3 linked regions of the Schizosaccharomyces pombe genome follow. Changing the gene in region 1 together with any one later gene gives a genetic interaction. Each region holds a gene or a part of one and is shown on either strand. Other genes may lie near its edges.

Evidence for each region. Genes that interact genetically often act in the same process or in processes that back each other up.
Region 2: mutations in rsv2 (region 1) and adn2 together harm fitness more than expected from each alone (negative genetic interaction), as found in Schizosaccharomyces pombe (one large-scale study listed by BioGRID).
Region 3: mutations in rsv2 (region 1) and met10 together harm fitness less than expected from each alone (positive genetic interaction), as found in Schizosaccharomyces pombe (one large-scale study listed by BioGRID).

The regions. Positions count from the first base shown.
Region 1 is NC_003423.3:3,530,371-3,536,000, reverse strand, and holds rsv2 (DNA-binding transcription factor Rsv2), read right to left. Parts: upstream 3,074-5,630; 5' UTR 3,071-3,073; coding exon 1,157-3,070; 3' UTR 713-1,156; downstream 1-712. Other genes in the region: 3-hydroxyacyl-ACP dehydratase Htd2, read left to right, coding at 1-598; SPOM_SPBC1105.13C (uncharacterized protein), read left to right, coding at 3,813-4,241.
Region 2 is NC_003423.3:4,399,338-4,404,948, forward strand, and holds adn2 (transcription factor), read right to left. Parts: upstream 3,533-5,611; 5' UTR 3,511-3,532; coding exon 1,279-3,510; 3' UTR 1,046-1,278; downstream 1-1,045. Other genes in the region: TIM23 translocase complex subunit Tim21, read left to right, coding at 1-654; U5 snRNP complex subunit Spf38, read left to right, coding at 5,224-5,268, 5,310-5,414, 5,453-5,525, 5,575-5,611. UniProt on the Schizosaccharomyces pombe protein: Probable transcriptional regulator involved in cell adhesion.
Region 3 is NC_003421.2:1,525,427-1,532,170, forward strand, and holds met10 (sulfite reductase NADPH flavoprotein subunit), read right to left. Parts: upstream 4,510-6,744; 5' UTR 4,067-4,509; coding exon 1,046-4,066; downstream 1-1,045. Other genes in the region: Cu metalloregulatory transcription factor Cuf2, read left to right, coding at 6,700-6,731.

The DNA.
Region 1 (5,630 bases):
TCATGAATTGATTCAGGAAGAATCTGTGAAATCTCCATCAATTACAAAAGAAGTTGAAGCTTGTCTTCCAAAAAGTTCTTTTCTAACAAAGCCTACTTCAGAAAAACAGACAAAGCATGTATATATTCGAAGAAAAATTTACGACAGTCAGCATCAATTATGTATCGAGGAAGATAGAACATTAGCCTATTTAAATCGACAAGAACTGGCTATACCAAAAACTTTACGTAGCAAAAGTATTCCACAACACTCTTGGGTATTCACACCTACACCTATTATGGTGTTTCGCTATTCAGCATTAATGTTTAATGCTCATATGATCCATTGGAATGCGACATACGCTACAAAGTCCGAAAATTATCCAAATCTCGTTCTTCCAGGTCCTCTTCTAGTGACTAGTATGTTAGAGTACTTTCGTTCTGTTTATCCCCAAATGTCAAAGAACATGAAAAGATTTGAGTTTCGATTATTATCTCCCGCGTTTGTCAATCAACCACTACGCATATGTATCTCAGAGACAGGTAACCTATGGATTGATCGATTTACTACAGACCTTGATCCACCGTCTTTGATTGCTAGAGGCCGCGTCTATACCTAACATAACTGAAAAACAATAATAATTAATACCGGCAGAAAAAATATTTCTAAATTACAAATACTACTTACTAATATTAAAATTTAAGTATGTAAAACTAAATCAAATTACATGATAGGTATTCAATTTAAGGTGAAAACACACAAAATTTTTTATTAACATTTAACAGTAACTTGGTAAGAAAAAAAAAACAATATTAACCAATCCCAATAAAAATGAAAACAAAATATAAAAACACTTATGACCGTCCAAAATAAAAAAGGAAACCGTTAGACGGAGAAGGGGTTTGAAATTACACATGAAGCTTGAGGATACGATGAAATGAAGAGGCAAAATTAAGATGATAAATGTACATGAAAGGAGACAAAGGAAAAAGCACTTTCAAAAGGGCTGTGAAATAATAACGGTACCAATTTTTTTCTTGAAAATAATTAGCAAAATGCAACTTTTTTTAAAATTCATAAACAAGGAATCAATGAAGAAGCGTAAGAGGTGAAAAATGACAATAGATAATGCAATAACCTTTTTTTAATATTTGTGGCAGAAGAGACTCCTTTCAATTTATCTACCGTGTTTCACACGGAGATGCCTAACCAAGGCATCATGTCTACTGAAATGGCGTTGATCGCCACAAATCTCACATCGAAATACAGGTCGTGTCTTAGCATGTATCGTATCCTGGTGACGGATCAAATCATACGTCCTAGAAAACACTGTGTTACAAATTTCTCCTGTAACTCTGTTCTGAAGAGTACACCGAACTGGACCAATTTGTTTACCAAATTTAAACTTCCTACGCTTCCTCTGAGCACCCGTAGCAGTAGTAGAAGAATTTGTAGGAGTGGTGTCAACAGGAGCAGATCCGTTGGGGCCATCAGCAGCAGCACCGGTGATGCTTACTTTTTGGTTGGTTGGATTAGGTACCACGGAATGAGAAGACCTAGTATTGTAATACGACTTAACGTCATTTAGGTCATGAGTAGCAGCCGATTGAGAGTGAGGAGCGTTGGAACTGTCTAACTCTGAAGTCGGTAATAAGTTAGGTATATTAGCAGAGGTTTTAACAGGAGAAGTGAGTGGAGGAGAGGAGCTGATCGTAGTATTTGAAGGTACGACAACAGGAGGCTGTGAAGGAGAAAGTGAATGTGGATTTACCGACGTACCAAGCACCAAGGAGGGGCGATGCTTGGCATTGTATGATCGCGTTATCGGAGGAGACAAAGAAGGGATGCGTTGTTTAATAGATTCTTTATTGAAGCTGTCCTGCCGAACATCGGAGTGCATGTTATCATTGACCATAGATACATCCTTCCCATCATATATCTGAGCGGAGTTTTCTTGAGGAAGAAGAGAGTCAGCAGCAGCTCCCAGAGCATGAGAACGGCGTAACGCAGTGCTCGTCGCCGAGTCCTTCATAGGATGCGCCCGCACTTCCGGATTTTGTTCCATACGGGATTGAAGTCCCGTTGGAGATACAAGGGAGGAATCCTTGTTGTCGGTATAAAGGTTCTTAGAGGAATCAAAATTTTGGGTCTTGAGAGGATTGTTAAGGGTAGAGGGATTTGCTTGGTGTTGAGGTGAGACATCTTTTGAGACTCTGTCTGACTTTTGATTGTGACCCAGTGACCTTTTTAAGTCACTTCCATTCTCCAAATAATCGGTTGAAAAAGGACCACTAGGAAGAGAGGCGTCCTTTACAAGTTGTTCGGAGACAGAGTCACTTGCATCCATGGATATCGAGGGCAACGGTTCCATATCCAAAGGTGGAGAATTCATGGGAAATGGATTACCGTTGATGTCGGAAATCGCGCCAGTGCCATCAGCAATCACCTGACTAGGTAAATCGAAAGAGTTGGAGAAGGGCTGGTCATTAATGGTGGAAGCAGATGGAGTAAGAGGAGGAGGGACGGACATGCTTGCAGATGCGTTACTCCCAGCATTTCCACTGGGGGAACTGTTAGCAGTAATAATGTGATTCGTTTGAGCCGAGGTAGGTTCGTTCGACCCGTTGACAGGAGGTGTGGTGATAAATTGATGATTGCTGCCAAGGGACGAAGGGACACTTGGAAAGTTAGCAGCGTTACCATAGTCAGATGCTAAGGGATCAAATGGCATGTCCATCGAGGAATCGGGAATAGTGTCGAGGGAGAAGGGGTCCATTGTGTCAGCATCGTTGTAGACACGAATGGGAACGTTCATCATATAGTCCCAGGAGGACATATCAGATAAATCTGAGTTATTTTCTTCTAACGTAGTAGGGTTAAAACGCTTTAAATTGAGTTCGGGCATCGAGATTTGCTCGAATTCAGCATCCGAGAATGCATTCGGAAATACATTAGTCACAGAGCGACCATTCATTTTGGATTTACGATTTTGTTGCAATTGGGATCCATTAAATTGCCAATCTGGAGTGGGAAAGTTATCGTTCCCATTACTAGAAATTGATCTTGCATATGTGTTGTTTGTAGTGTCCATACTACCCAGCAAAGATGCGCGAGGCAATGTATATATAAAGAATGACGTCAAGCGTCTGATTGAAAAAACCACCCTTGTCAAACAACATTGGTTAGCAATTGACGTCGTTTTACATTGATTGAGCCAATCAGAGGCCGCCAATGAAGTAGCATGGAAATGTCAGAATGCGCTGGCAGTGCTGCTGATTCGTTCTTTTCAAATAAAAGCGCGTAATGTGTAAGCGAACCCCAATTACATTCCTTCAATCTGCGACTTGCGCTCTACGCTGTCCTCTCATATGGAAAGCGAGCTTCCAGTACTTAAATCACCTTATATATCGCGGTTAGTCATAACGCACTAATGAAGGAATACGCTGCAAGCTTCATTCCAAAAGCAATCATAGAATGAGGTCAAAATGAAGAGGCGGAGTCGGGGAAAGATGAGATTGAAGGATGAATCAAGTCCACGATACTTTTAGGTCATATCACGACGTTGATTTGCATCTTACTCTAGTTACTCGTACTTTAGAGATGCGATGGAATTGAGGATGTTTGGTACAACAAATGTCTTGTTTTTCGTTTGCGCCGTGTCACGCTACTCCTAAGATAGCAGCTAAATGAAAAGTCTAAAAACGCTAAAAAAATTTCCTCCCTACATGTTCAAGTCAATCAAGTGCTTCATGTTCCCGATCACCATATCGGCATCGCAATGCAGACCTCGATTGCTTACTTAAACTCGGTAATCTCGTCTTCCGTTACCCTACATGATCACGGAATTCATCAAGTCGTTTTTACTTTTTTTTTTCCTTCCCTTCTTTCTTTCGATGCCGATGATCTTCGCTACTCTGGGGGAGTTTACCGACGATCAAACTCATCATTATTCCACGCTTCCGTCGTGTGACCTTCTCCTTATTCGTGGAGAAGTTAAAGAAAATGCCAGATGCTTCTTGCATAACCCAAAAATTAGTCATCAGCATCATTCTTTCTGGTCCTTAATAGAAGGATGTTTGGAGGCGCTGCAATTTGGCTTACTAGCAATTCTTCAGGGATTATTTTCTCAGTTTGCATGGGAAGCCTGCTCTTGTACCTTTGCATGCATGCTTCTTACTAGCGAACGTACTGAACCGTCTTATCCGTTTTCCGAGATTACAGAGGTCAGTCGTGGTGGGTTGCACTTCGTTAAGTTGAATTAAGTATGCTTAACTCAGGTGAAGTCAATTTGTCGATGTCGATGAGATTGGCTAGTACACGAAGGGGATGCGGAGCTGCTAAGCAGAGGAGTGATTTAACTATGAAACCAATTCGTAGGATAAAGTATACTTTACCGATCGATATGGATGATGCAGATGTAGGAATCAATTATTCTACTTTCTTGTGAAAAGCATAACCCATGTGTATTATTTTCAAACAAGTCAAACAGATGGATAGCCAACACGCATATGACTGCTTACTCAAGTACAAATGACTTTTAGAGCATACCAATTTCAACAGACTTTTATCACTAGTGCAACTATCTTTTTATCAGTTGTAGTCTTTCAAACATCAATAATCACTGGCATTCACACACGGCAATACCAATCATTATGTTATTACGAGAACAACTCGTGAACAAATGGATTCCAGTGTGTTCTAGCATACACATAAATGTCTCGTCTTTCTACTTTATTATTTAGTCGATGAGTGGAACAATTAATAAACTTACCATTCAATATTGCACTGACAAACGTATACTTTTTTATATTTCTCTTTCTTTTCGTAGGCTTTACGTACTTACTCTTCCTTATTTTCCTCTGCAACGAAAAAGAGGATTGGATTATGGGCTTCGTCAAACGTTACAATTACAGAGTAACCTTGTAATAAGATGAAGTAAAATATAAAGTAAACGACGTGTAGTGATAAAAAATCTGTATTTTTGTCAAAGTGAACTTAATTGTTCAACGCGTTCTGATGTCATATGCCCAAAAATAATTCACCTACCCAAGGTAATTGAAAAATTTGTCAATACAAAACGAATGCTTTATAAACACAAAAGAAAACATGTCAGATTAGAGAAAGAGTCGTACGCTCTCATTGCTGAAAGCTTTTTATCCTTAACACTTTACTGGAATTTGTTAGTCCCGTTGACTATGTGGTTGTTAGATACAGATTAGGTAAATTCATTTATTGTGGTATTAAGCAAGGAGCGGAAGAAAGTACGTACTTTTTTACATTGTTAAAAGTTTTATTTGACGAAATTACAACACTTAATAAGTATCTAAGTATGCGATCGAGCTGATTCAATTTGATATCTCTCAATTAGAAAGTTGCGTATTACCTCACAACTACGATGTACCGTACAATTCACAATCTTCCTGGCTATGCAACTGTTTGCTATCAACTAGTCGCTTAGATAACCTTCTTTAACCCCATTCACTAGACACACTTTCCCCATACCCAGAAAGATGACACGAAGAACAGTGTAACGCATCAACTAGGTTAATTTGCTTAAGGTCGCACAAACAATTACCTAAAGAAAAACTTGCGCGTTTACTATATTTGTACTACTTATAAATATCACGATACGATTCGGGTTTAATGAACAT
Region 2 (5,611 bases), 870 kb from region 1:
AGGCAGAGCGCTACAAGGTTTTCTTCAGCTTTGGTTCAGAGGAGATTATACTCTTTGGCTTCTGATTCTCTCAATAAACAACGGAAACCACAAGAAGAAGGGCGCCTGGCACGAATTTTCAAAGATCCGTCTAACAAAGCTTGGAAGGATTTGACGGCTCCTCAAAAAGCATACAGAACTTCTGCTAATATTGGAAATTTTTCGATTGTGATATTTGGAGGCGGCGTTTTCGGATTGATTATATATGCACTTGTCACTAGTATCTGGAAGGGCGAGGCACATTACGGTGATGAAGCTTTTGAACTTTTAAAGGCTAATGAAGAATGTCGATATGTTTTTGGAGATCACATGAAAGCCCTAGGTGAAGCCACGCATCCTCTTCGTCGAACTCATGGTATATTGACTAGTCGTGTGTGGGATCACCATGGTGTAGAACATCTAGTACTACAATTTCACTTAATCGGTAATGAGAGAAAAGGGCACGTATTTGGAAGACTTGTAAATGTTCAAGGTGACTATAAATGGGAATATCTTTTCGTTGATGTTGCAAATTACGGAAAAATCATAATTTTTGATCATACCAATTCTGTACGACAACAACATAAGAATTTTGGTTTATGGGGAAGCTTAAAAAATATTACATGGGGAAATTAGAATTTCCGAATGATAAACGCACGACGGAAAGGTATAGCTGTTAATTTCAACCGAAAAGGAAATCATTGAATTATTTCTCGATTTTAATGGTTTGATTAATGGTTTTTCGCAGAGAATTAATTTTCTAATTTACGAATTAATTTACAGGCGATGTTAATGATTTTTATCAGAATTAGCACACTTAGTTATGCAGTATTTGGATGTATATTGCAAAAAATAAAAAAATCGTCGACACTTTATTACTAATTAAGCGATCGAACCTCATGATTTGTTGTTTAATTAGTTAGTATAAAGAAGCGAATTTGTACGAGGGGCCTTTTCGCAGGGGCTGATTAATCGCCAATCTAATGTACTACCTAAATGTGTTTAGTTATAAAAAATATAAGAATGATTCAAAGCACATGAAATAATTTTGATTATTAGATATAAAGTACAAGATGTAGGCCGGTATTTATAACCGAGTACACTAATCCATATCCAACTAGCAATTAATTATATATTAAATTTTTATAATGACAAAACGCAACGCATTCAAAAAAGATGAAAAAATCTGGTATATAATTTCCAAATAAACAAATTAAAAAAGAAGAAAAACAAGGATAAAATACTTAAGTTTCGACAAAATTAAGCAGCAGTCGAGTCTTCATTATCCGGCAAATTAAACAATCCAAACCATAAATCGTCACCAGTACTAGTATCTTTTAAAAATTTGTCGAAGTCAAAATCATTTAGAAGAGCCGCATCGATGTCTGTTGAATTTCCAACATCCAATAATTGATTGTCTGAAGATTTAGTGGCAACTGTGGTAGACTCCGTAGGTGCAGAAGGAGTCGCGGAAGTATCAGGATTTGATTTTCCTGACTGATTTTGATTATCCAACTCAGAATCGGATTTGTGAACATTTGCTCCTTGCGATGGTTCCAAAGCAGGACCTACACTTGTTGCTTCATTTGTTGATGATTCGGGGTTGGTAGTGTTGACGGTCGGTGCTGGAGTTGGAGCATTTGAATTAGCAGAAGAAGGCTTTTGTTTTGATCGAACGTCCAATGGAGAACTGGCATTTGGAGTGGGTCGCGATGAATGAGTTTGTTGTAATTGCCAATTCCCCATAACGTCCATTCCATTGTCCGCATTATTTGTGTCAGAGGTAGATGAGTTTTCAATCAGATTAGAATAGTTTGATGGATGATCACCTGATGTACGTAAAGGAAGACCATTTTGTAACATAGGCATATTTGACTCATTGATGCCATTAAGATTTTCAGTAGTATTACTATTTTTTGTTGAGACCTTTACAGGAGATGTGGTGGCTTCTGTAGGAGTGTCAGTAGATTTAGGAGTAGTGCTTTTGGTTTTTGCAACACTAGATTCAGTAATAGTCTGAGAAAGCGGTCTATCAGGCGATGCCGATGTGTACCCTTTTCTTTCTTTTTCCTGACTAACTAACAGAAGCCTCTTTTTATTCTGTTGTTCTAGTAGCTTTAACTCCTCCATATAATTCTTGAGAGCTGGGTTTAGACGACTGGGGTTTGCGTTTCCGTTAAAATTATATAGCATATTTTGAGAGTAAGGAGAATTAGAGAATCCGTATTGGTTCATTTGATTTCCAGAAAATTGCCCAGTTGAAGGCTGTTGAGCAGGTTTAGGTTTGTCTAAAGATTTCTGTTGTTGAGGAAGGGTAGAAGAAGGTACTGCTCCTCCTTGTTTGAGATGTGGATTTCTGTTTGAAGCAAAATTTATCTCGTGAAGCAATGGTTGAGCAGAGTTTTGAACAACAGGGTATTGTCCTCCGTTAAGACCAGTGGTATCGTACAACGGATTCGACTGGGGAACGGAACCATTAGGAGTTGCCGGTAAACTAGGGCGAAATTGAGCATTAGATGGAGCACCTTCTGTTTTGGGTGAAGAAGGGATGGATCGAAAATCGGAAATTGGACCTTGCTGCTTAGGTGGATGTGTATCGTGAGTTGTAGGTTGAGAAGTCGTGTTTTGCATTTGTGGGGTAGAACCACTTTGTGGAGTTTTCTTTTGCTGGTGCTGCTTTTGTTGTTGTTGCACAGATTGTAGCTGCCTGTAGTGTAATTGTTTTAATTGTTGAAGTTGAGCAGCGGTCGGGGGAAACGTTTCACGGCTTTGATTATTTAGCATAGCTTGCCGCATTAAGTGCTGATTTCTATCGTTCAATCCACCTGCCCCTTGATGAAACTGAGATGAGTCAATCTGCTGACCCATTGCGTTGGCAGGATCATGGGGAAATGAGGCGTTTGCATAAGGGTGAGAAGTATTTCCAGTGTGTAGAGAGTTTTTTTGAATTTCTTGCAAATTTAAACGAGATTTCTTCCTAAGATTGCTAATATGAGACATATACGCCTTTGCCGGCTCAGATCCTTGACCCCGACGAGCATTGTAAATATCCCAAAAAACATTCCACCACTCGATTAAAAAACCACCAGCTGAATCGATAGGCAAAATAGGAGGTGGCGGCGGAGCAGAAGAAGAAGAAAAGGAATCTAAATTACCGTTATTTACATTCATGTTTTCATCCGAAGATTCATTATTACTTATACCTTCATGCTTTACAGCAACAGGAGACATTCTTTTGTGACGCTTAGCTAAGGAATTGGTTTCTTCTTGACTTCTGACGAGCGTTTGTACTTGTGCTTCACGGCCAAAAGCTCGGGCTGCCTCACAATAATCCTTCTTGATTAAATAATCATATATGTACGAATTCAGTAAGGATTGTGTGGTCCTATCGGCATTATTTACGTGCGGTTGTTTTTGATCTTTTTGTAAATCATGTTTCTGTCCTTGCTGGCTTGGCAATCCGACGCCGGACCTTAAACCTGGATCAGCCATAAACTAGAAATGTGCAGAAGTTAGGTGTTGCGAACGAGAATATGGATCTACAACGATGCACGCTGGCGATATATAATTTTAAAGATCTGCGCACGCTATACTACCGCAACATTTTGTATATCATATTTTCATTTTAGTTTTCTATCAATTACTGAAAATCATAAAATCATAAATGTTATGTTTGAATTTAGTTACAGAGTAAATCAAAACCCTTGAAGAGTAAAACTCTATAGAGGTTTCTTATTTTCCAAGGCAAGTCATGCTCTAAAAACATTTTTAATAATAGTTATTATGTATATATTCGGATTTGAATTATCTAAAATGGGCTATATTAAAATATGGTTCTAAGATGATATACTTTCAATGAATCAACCAGTGGTAATTTCAGATTTTATATATGCAAACTTACTAACTGAAAACTGTGGAATTAAGGGATAGGTGGGTTTAGAAAGTAAATGTAAATTGATATTTCTTCATCCGTAAAAACATCATAATGAATTAAGAATACTATTAGCCGCAGTTTTTTGTAAGAATGCTGTAATTATGTAGATAGTATCAATTATTCTTGTTTTATTTACCTTGCCTTGGAAAATATACATATCTACAGCTTTTTACATAAGTTAGCGATGTAAATACTAAGCACTGGAACTCATATTATCATTTTCTAAAGTTGTTAGAAATGCTTTTAGTAGTAAAGATTTTGGAATGTGTTCACTATTCGAAAACTAGTTGCAAATTGTGTTTTTCAGTAAATCAAGCAAGATGCTTAATTTTGGCACTACAAGTTTTTAGAAAGTACTTACATGAAGATTGGAAGCTTTGCGTAAATTTGTTTAGTTTCACATATTCCACATTTTAGTTTTCTATAATTCATTTTTTATCAAGTAGAAAATTTAGTTTCTCTCTTTCATTGCAAATGCTATAATCCGGCTTTAGAACTACTATCTACTGGATAATCCTTTATTATTGCCATGCTAGATTCCCTGTAGAATTATGGATTTTGATATTAATCAAAAATTAATTTCTTAAAGTACAAATATATTCGACGGGAGAAAGTTTATGAAATTTTGTATGCGGTTATACCTAATCAGTGATTATCTCGTTGTTTATATTTCAATTTTTGAGGCGACTAGAATAGACAATTCAGCCCAGAAAACCGTACATACAATTTTTAAGTAGAAAAATTTGTTAATAACTATACCCAAAAAAAATGTGATTACGCATCTTTAGCTAATGGCAAAATGCTTCTCAAGTGTTTTTGATGGTGGTAAAATCGAGATAGACTAGATATTAAAGCCGCTCGTTAAATATTATAAGACATTAATTGATACTAGTGTTTTTCCTCAAGCACAAACAAGGTCTGTATATAGTATACGGAATAGATATTTCTTACAATTTATTTATACTGTTTAAACGAATTTTAAATGGCTTCCATGAGAAGGGTAAATTTTTAGGGATTTTGCCTGTAATCAAAATGTTGTTCATATAAATTCTACTTTAAGTCCTGTTTATAGGAATGAGCTCATCATTCCTCGTTATTTGAACACCAAAGAAAAGTCCGATTTATTGGTATTTTGGTTGTGACAGAAACCCCTGCGACGATTGTCGATCCGTTTTATATATTTTCCACTCCCGTCCCTGCTATTCATTTTACGTTCTAATTCTGAAAACTGTCAATCAGAAATTGCAGTTATTATATATAGTAAACTGGAAATGGATAAACGAAAGGAATCGGAGAGTGCGACTAATGGACATTTAGTATGTTCGATTGCTAAAAAAACATGCACTAATATAAATAGGTTAAAAGAATTAGAATCCAAGATTCTAGCTTAATAACGGAGGGTTCTGTATTGCAACGAACATCTGATCTCAATGTTCCAAACCTACAGATGTTTGGGCATACGGTATGGTTGTATTGAAATAAATCATACTAACGCTTTAGGCTGAAGTTTTAGTCGCCAGGTTCGATCCTTCTGGATCATACTTTGCTTCTGGCGGTATGGATAGACAGATACGTAAGTGCAGCTGTAATTAAAATGTTGATTTATAATAACTGTGGTTTAGTTCTTTGGAATGTGTTTGGTGACGTTAAAAACTACGG
Region 3 (6,744 bases), on another chromosome or scaffold:
CTATACCAGAACTATTGCAACCAATTTGCTATTGCCACAGCAATTGGGGAATTATAATATTAAAAACAAAAACCCGAAAGCTGAGTGAAACAGCAAACAATGAAACAACGAAATAAAATCTTTCAAGTGTCTAAACAACACTTCACATCGTTCAAGCAATTCGCCGACACCCAAATATACTGTAGCTCACGAGTTGTACAGTGAATGAGGAAACTCTTAGTAAATAAATCGTTAAATTATACAAATAAAAGAAGGGTGTTTTCTCGTCAGCCAAGCAAGAGCCCTTATACTTTTTGTCTTAATATATACAACACACTAAGATAAACGTTACGCTTAAATCTCTCAAGTAGTTGAATCGACTTCAGCTACTTGTCATTCAACTATCTCAGGAAGTTGCGTTTGGGAATAAGTAGAGGCGTTCATTCTTCAGGTATATATACAACGTCTACGTATTCAATCATTTTAAAAAATTATACTACCTCGGAGTAAATTATTTCAAAGCGTCCGAGGCGTAGACGTCGGAGTTGAACAAACCGATAAAATCTTGAAGATAACCCCGAAGTCCGAATGCTCTGATCTATTCCATGTGCGCCTCTAGCATTCGATATTGTTGAAAGTTGATGTGAATAGAGTGTTATATCGCACGCTTCATCTGATCACCTAATGCCATGGTTAGAAGATCTCGTTATGCTGACAAAACATGGTGGTAGTATTCCACTGCACTATAGCTAAGATGGTAGGATCTCGATAGTAGTTATAAAGAAGAAATGAGAATGTTCTAAACTGCATATGTAATCGTCCACGTTTTGCCTTGAATTAATAATTTGCATCTCAAGAAACTCAAGTCAGGCTTGGTACAGTGAAGTGGGTGATTGCAATCATCAAGGCTATTAATGCTGGGCTGAATATAGTACAATACATTTAATACATTATACATTCAATACATTCATACAAACGATACTTACGGCATTTTGCACAACCTAATGTGTAAATAAACCTGAAAAGGTTTTAAATGAGTTTGATTTGACATCTCCTTCTATAAGCTCTAGTAAACTTCGATGACAAAACGACGCTCTTCCTTCCATTGTTCAATGATCTTGCGAGCATCGACTGGCTCATCATAACTGCTCTGGATCACTTCCTCTAAAACACTGGTGATCTCGGGCAAGGGCCATGTAGGACCACACAAGTAAAAGGAACCCCCCTCATCCATAAGAGCCTTCTTTAACATGTCTTTGGTAGATCGCATAACATCTTGGATATAGATTTTGTAGGGTTGATCACGACTGAAAGCTTGTCCAATATGCGTCAATAGATTGGCGGAATGATAAGCCTCCCAATCCTCACCATACAGATACTCTTCTCTTTGAGTACGGGAACCCAAATATAACAAGATGTCACCAGATTCGATTCCCTGCATACGTTGCCATTCTTTGAATTGCAAAAAGGCACGGAATGGTGCTAAACCAGTTCCCAAACCTGCCATGACAATTGGCTTCAAGGGGGACGTGGGCAACTTCATGACAGAAGTCTTGACAGCAACGCAAAGAGGTTCGCCCACCTTCAAATTGGAAAGATAGTGCGAGCATTGGCCATAGCGATCACGTCCCATACCATCCTTCCAACCAACCACGACAACCAGCAAATGAACACTGTCATTGTGCTTCTTTTGAGAAGAAGAAATGGAATACTCACGACGCTTAATGACTGGTACGATTTGTGCGATTTGTGCAGCAGTCAGCTTAGCATGCTTAAACTCTTTCAATACATCAGCATAGGTAAGCATATCTACTTCAGCACGACGCTTGAAATCAGGAGCTCCAGCAGGGCTAATTAAAATCTGCAGATCGGCACGCTCCTTCTCATCAGTCTCGAATTCAAGCAGTTGCTCATGGAATTTTTTAGTGGGTTTACCAAAAATGTCAATGTTCTGACAAAGTGCTTGGAAAACTGTGCGTGTTTCCCAATGACCAGGATGTTGAATGGACGGGACGTGGATAAGCTCGTTAGCATCTAATCCGTATTCCTCAATGAAATCATGAACGTGAGTTTTATTGTTAACACCGTAAACACCCAAAGCTTCACCAATGTCATAGGTGAGCCCACTGTCGCCAAGGTCGAATTCGATGTGGAAAATATTACGGTTATACTCGGCGGGCGTAAGACGTTTGTTAGCTCTCACGTGAACAGTAAAGACCTTCTCCGAAACGTCAGGACGAAGGGCGTCCTTCTTTTTGTAAGCCTCGGGGAAGATGATCTGCTTGGCCACTGTCTGCCAGTTGGAAGATTGAGGGGTGATATCCTCATCTAAAGTCTTCACAGCGTTGGGAGCAAACGAAGTTTCCTTCGCGGTACTTGGCAACTCCTTCTCCGAGGGCTCGCGATCCTTCAAAGCCGAGGCGTCTAAATTAATGAACGAGAGAGATTGCTTAAGTGAGTCAACAGCATCTTTCAAATTCGTGTCAGTTAAATTATTTTGCTTAGCCAAAACAGCCAAAGCCTCGTCAACACCTAAACCAGGCTTGACGAGTTGAATAAATGAAACCAACAAAGGCAAGTTCGAGGCATCGATGGCAAACTTTTTGGGATCAATAAGCACTAATTTCACTCCTTTCTCCAAAGCATCAGCGATAAATTCGTATGGAAGTTTCTTAGTTGCTTCATCTGGTGCGATGGAGGACTGTAATAAACAAATAGAATGTTCAGCAGCCTTGGCGAGAACACGATAATGTAAAGGAAGTCGATCAGTAGTTAAAATAGTAATATCAGCATCAACATCTTTAACAACATCTGTTAAAACAGCGTTGGCCGTAGAAACTTGGGCAACGGTAAAACGGACGCCAGCCAAGGTCAAGTTGTCAAACAAAGGACGGAAGGCAACAGATCTCGATTTATCGGTTCTATAGGCAGAAACTAACGAAAGCACCAAGGAATCACCGACATCAGATTCCCAAACGTTGATGCTCTTATCAACATGAACAGCTTTGGGAGTAGCAGCTTTCAATTGCAGGGTCTCGTGAAGAGCATCAAAGAGAGAGCTCAAGGTGACGGACTCTACTAAGGAGTAGCGATGCTCGGAAATAGCAAGCGCTGAAGGTTTAGTGCTCAACAGTGTAGCAAGTAGGAAGGAATAGTAGATGGAAGAAGTTCCGACAGCGGTAGAGCGAACCTGGGAAAGAACAACAAGAGATTTGCAAGTAGTGGGAAGAACATTGAAAATGTTTTCAGCAACAAAAGGGAAGATACGGATAGAAAGAACGCCCACATCAGGATTGGCAGCCAAAAGGGCGCGAGCAGCGACGGTTTCAGACTTCCCAAAAGTTACAATAACCTTAGAAGCGGTTTGAGATCCGTAATACTCGGCTGGAGCATACGAAGTGTTAAAGTAATCGTTGACATGCTTCAAAGCCTTGGAAGCGTTGGAGACAGGATCAGCTTCGGATTGGTAAGAGTTGAAGCACTCAACCACGGCGTTGGAATCGAGAAGAGGAAGGCTGGGATCAGTTGTGGTGACAATGGCATCCGGCTCATACACATGAATGACAGGAGCAGCCTTGGCAGCCAATGTACTGGCCAAAGCGAGGTGAGCAGCCTCGACATTAGATTGCGAAGCGAAAACGGTGAAGTTGTTGGCGTAAGAAAAGTCTAAAACACTCACGTTATCAGCGCAATAGGTTTGTTCGAGGTAGGCCAAAGCTGCGACATGAACAACAAGAGGCTTACTAGCTCCATAGAAAGGAATAATATTAGAAAGCAAGGGGTTCAAAAGCGATAAACAGCTGGAAGGTGTCATCATGGAGTAGACACCAGGAGAAGAGATTGCTGCAGTGTAAGAGCCCAACAAGAAAGCGGAAGCGCCAGAGCGAGCCTCCAAATTGAAAAGTTCAACATTGTTGGAAAATCCGTTTCTGCGACCAGAGTTGTTCCACTGAGTCAAATAACGGTTCAAAGGAACGTGTTCCGCGTAAGAAAAGATACGGTTGGAAAGAGAATAAACAATATCTTCAATGATTTTGTGCGAAACATCGAATTTCGCAACTTGATCGGAAGAATCAGTAGCAACCATTTTGAACCAACAAATCAATGATTAAACGGAAGAAAATAATTAAAGAAATTTAAAATTTTGATTAACAAAACGTTTCAAAAAATTAAATAATATTTAATGAAAAGGAATGTTGAACCCCAAAAAAGAAACCAAAAAATCCAAATGTATGGAGAAAAGTGTCAAACCAAAATTTTTCGTTTTGACGAGCTTTCCAAAAAAAAAAAAAAAAAAGAAACAAGTATGCTTTTATTCGCTAAAAAGTTAGAAATCTGTTTCTTAATTAAGATACAGCTTTAGATTCAAAATTTCGCCAAAAAAATTAACCGTTAAACGTTTTAAAATTTTGGTGTATTTTTTTCTAGTTAAACTGTAGATATAAATGTTCAGTTGCAAATGCCTAAAATTCCTACCAAACGTGGAATTTACACCTAAGCAAAGTACTGGGATATTTAGGTATACTTGGTAAAGAGTAAAATTGAGAATTTAACAAATAAATAAACCAGTTCGGAGAGCTACTGCTTGCGTGATTGCGCTTGTGTATCACACCAATTGTTGCTACTTTAAAGCGACATAATCGCTTAATTTAAAGGTATAAACAACGTATTCTTTCAATAGCTCGTTATTCTTATTAAGGATAATGGAGGTGCTTTTTCTTACTGTAATTAAAGAATTGTTTGATGTCAGCAATACTACACTACGCTATAATACACTACGTTGCGTATCACTATATGTCACATGTTCTAATTATATATAGTACCATGTATGATACGATATTGAGATTGATCTTAATGATAATCTATCAAGATCTATATTATCTGAATAATATAAATAGAGCTACTGCTGAACCTCGTTCCTCAGTTCAGTTATAAGCTATATTAGTGATAGGTAACATTATAACTCAGTTAATACAATACCTATACTCAGTTGCTACTTATACAACCTGTGTATTGTAATATAATAGATCACAAGGAAAACTCACCGCAGTTCTACGTATCCTTAAATCAGATACCAAACTGCGTAGCTTACATTTGAAGGGATTTAACAACATAATGGAATGTAGTTGACAGATGTGACGTTGTATATCTTTGAACAGGTATACAGAGATTTACGGATACCCAGACGATAAATAACGACCGTTGGGGTTAGCAGTTTTATTCTCATCAAATTAAGAAAATGTGTGTGCAAGGTAGTTATTGTTTTTATAAGGTTTTCTAAATTTCAATACTTTTAGTAGTCTCATCTTGTAGCAATCTGATCAGAAAGACATTATCATCTTTCGCATTCTGAAAAACATGAAATAGAATGTCAAGTGAATTTGAGTAAAGAACCGCACGTATTGATGTGTTCGATTTCAGCAACGTACTTGATTTTAGAAGCTCCATTATATGATTTTAGTTTAGCTAGTTAGTTTTATCTCCAGAAAATTGACAGGTATTCAATATTTACTGATTTATTCATAGTGCGCTAAATGCATCTAAGTACTGTGCTGTAATTATGTTCATTATACCCAGTATATCAGCATCTAGCAGCAAATATACATTTATGTAAATACATTTACATTTCAAATAGTAGCATCTCCAAATCGTCACAAATTGTAGAATTTACATATCTTTTTTTAAAATACTGAACGTTCCTTAATTTGATGAAATCACTTCGTCTACATTTCTATTATGTGACAATATTTGTAGGTAGCAAATATTCAAATTGATTAAAAGATTTTTTGAAATCGAAAAAAATTGTGAGTTTAATCATACCTTTCTGAAAGAAATATTTCAATTTTTTTTAAAAAAATTTGAAGGGTCTGACAAGCCTACCTCATTTTACATTTACTTTCATTTAATTATTTTTTTAAACCTGACATTAAAACAAAGTAACTCGATATAACCCTGAAAAATAATAATCAATTAAAATAAATGAGCAATCAATAAAAAAGTTATTATGTCTTTAGGTTGCAAACTTTTAAGCTGTTTTGTAATCTGAAAATCATATATGTTATAATATAAAGTAGTATATTAACAAAATCCAGTCTTTATAGCATCTGGTACCTTTTGCAAACAAAAGTTATTTAACAAGTTTAGAGTGCAGAAAATCGCAAAACTGCTTAGAGAATTGACGCAATCATAAAAACATAGAATGAAATCGCCTCGAGGAAAAATCACAATTTGATCAGTTTGCACACTCATTAAATCAAAATTATCTTTTCTACGAAATTGTGCTCAAAAACATTGAACATAGTGATTTAATACCTTCCTATTTTGTATGTTATTGTTGGTTAGTGTCAATAAGTTGATGTATTTGTTTATCCCATAATATGTAAACAAATGTCCATAGCTAGAGCTTATAAATAATTTATGCCAGCACTCAAACTTTTGACAAACAACAAACATTGGAAATATTTAAAAGTAAAGTATATTATTTTAAAACACTTAGCTGTTCGTCTTGTCTTCTATTAATATCCGTTGTGCAATTCTTCTGGATCAGAAAGCTAAAGCAGAGACGAGGAAAAAGGAATTTGGGAAAAAGCTGTCATTTACAATTTATCAACCTAAAGGAAGAGAACGTATAAGAGGAATTTATTTAAAACGTTCCTCGACTAGCTTATTTACTCGAATCCTACTTGTCTTCTTTTCCCTTAATCACAAATACCTTCAATCATGATCATTATTGACGGTAAGAATTATGCTTGGTAAGACTTTTTG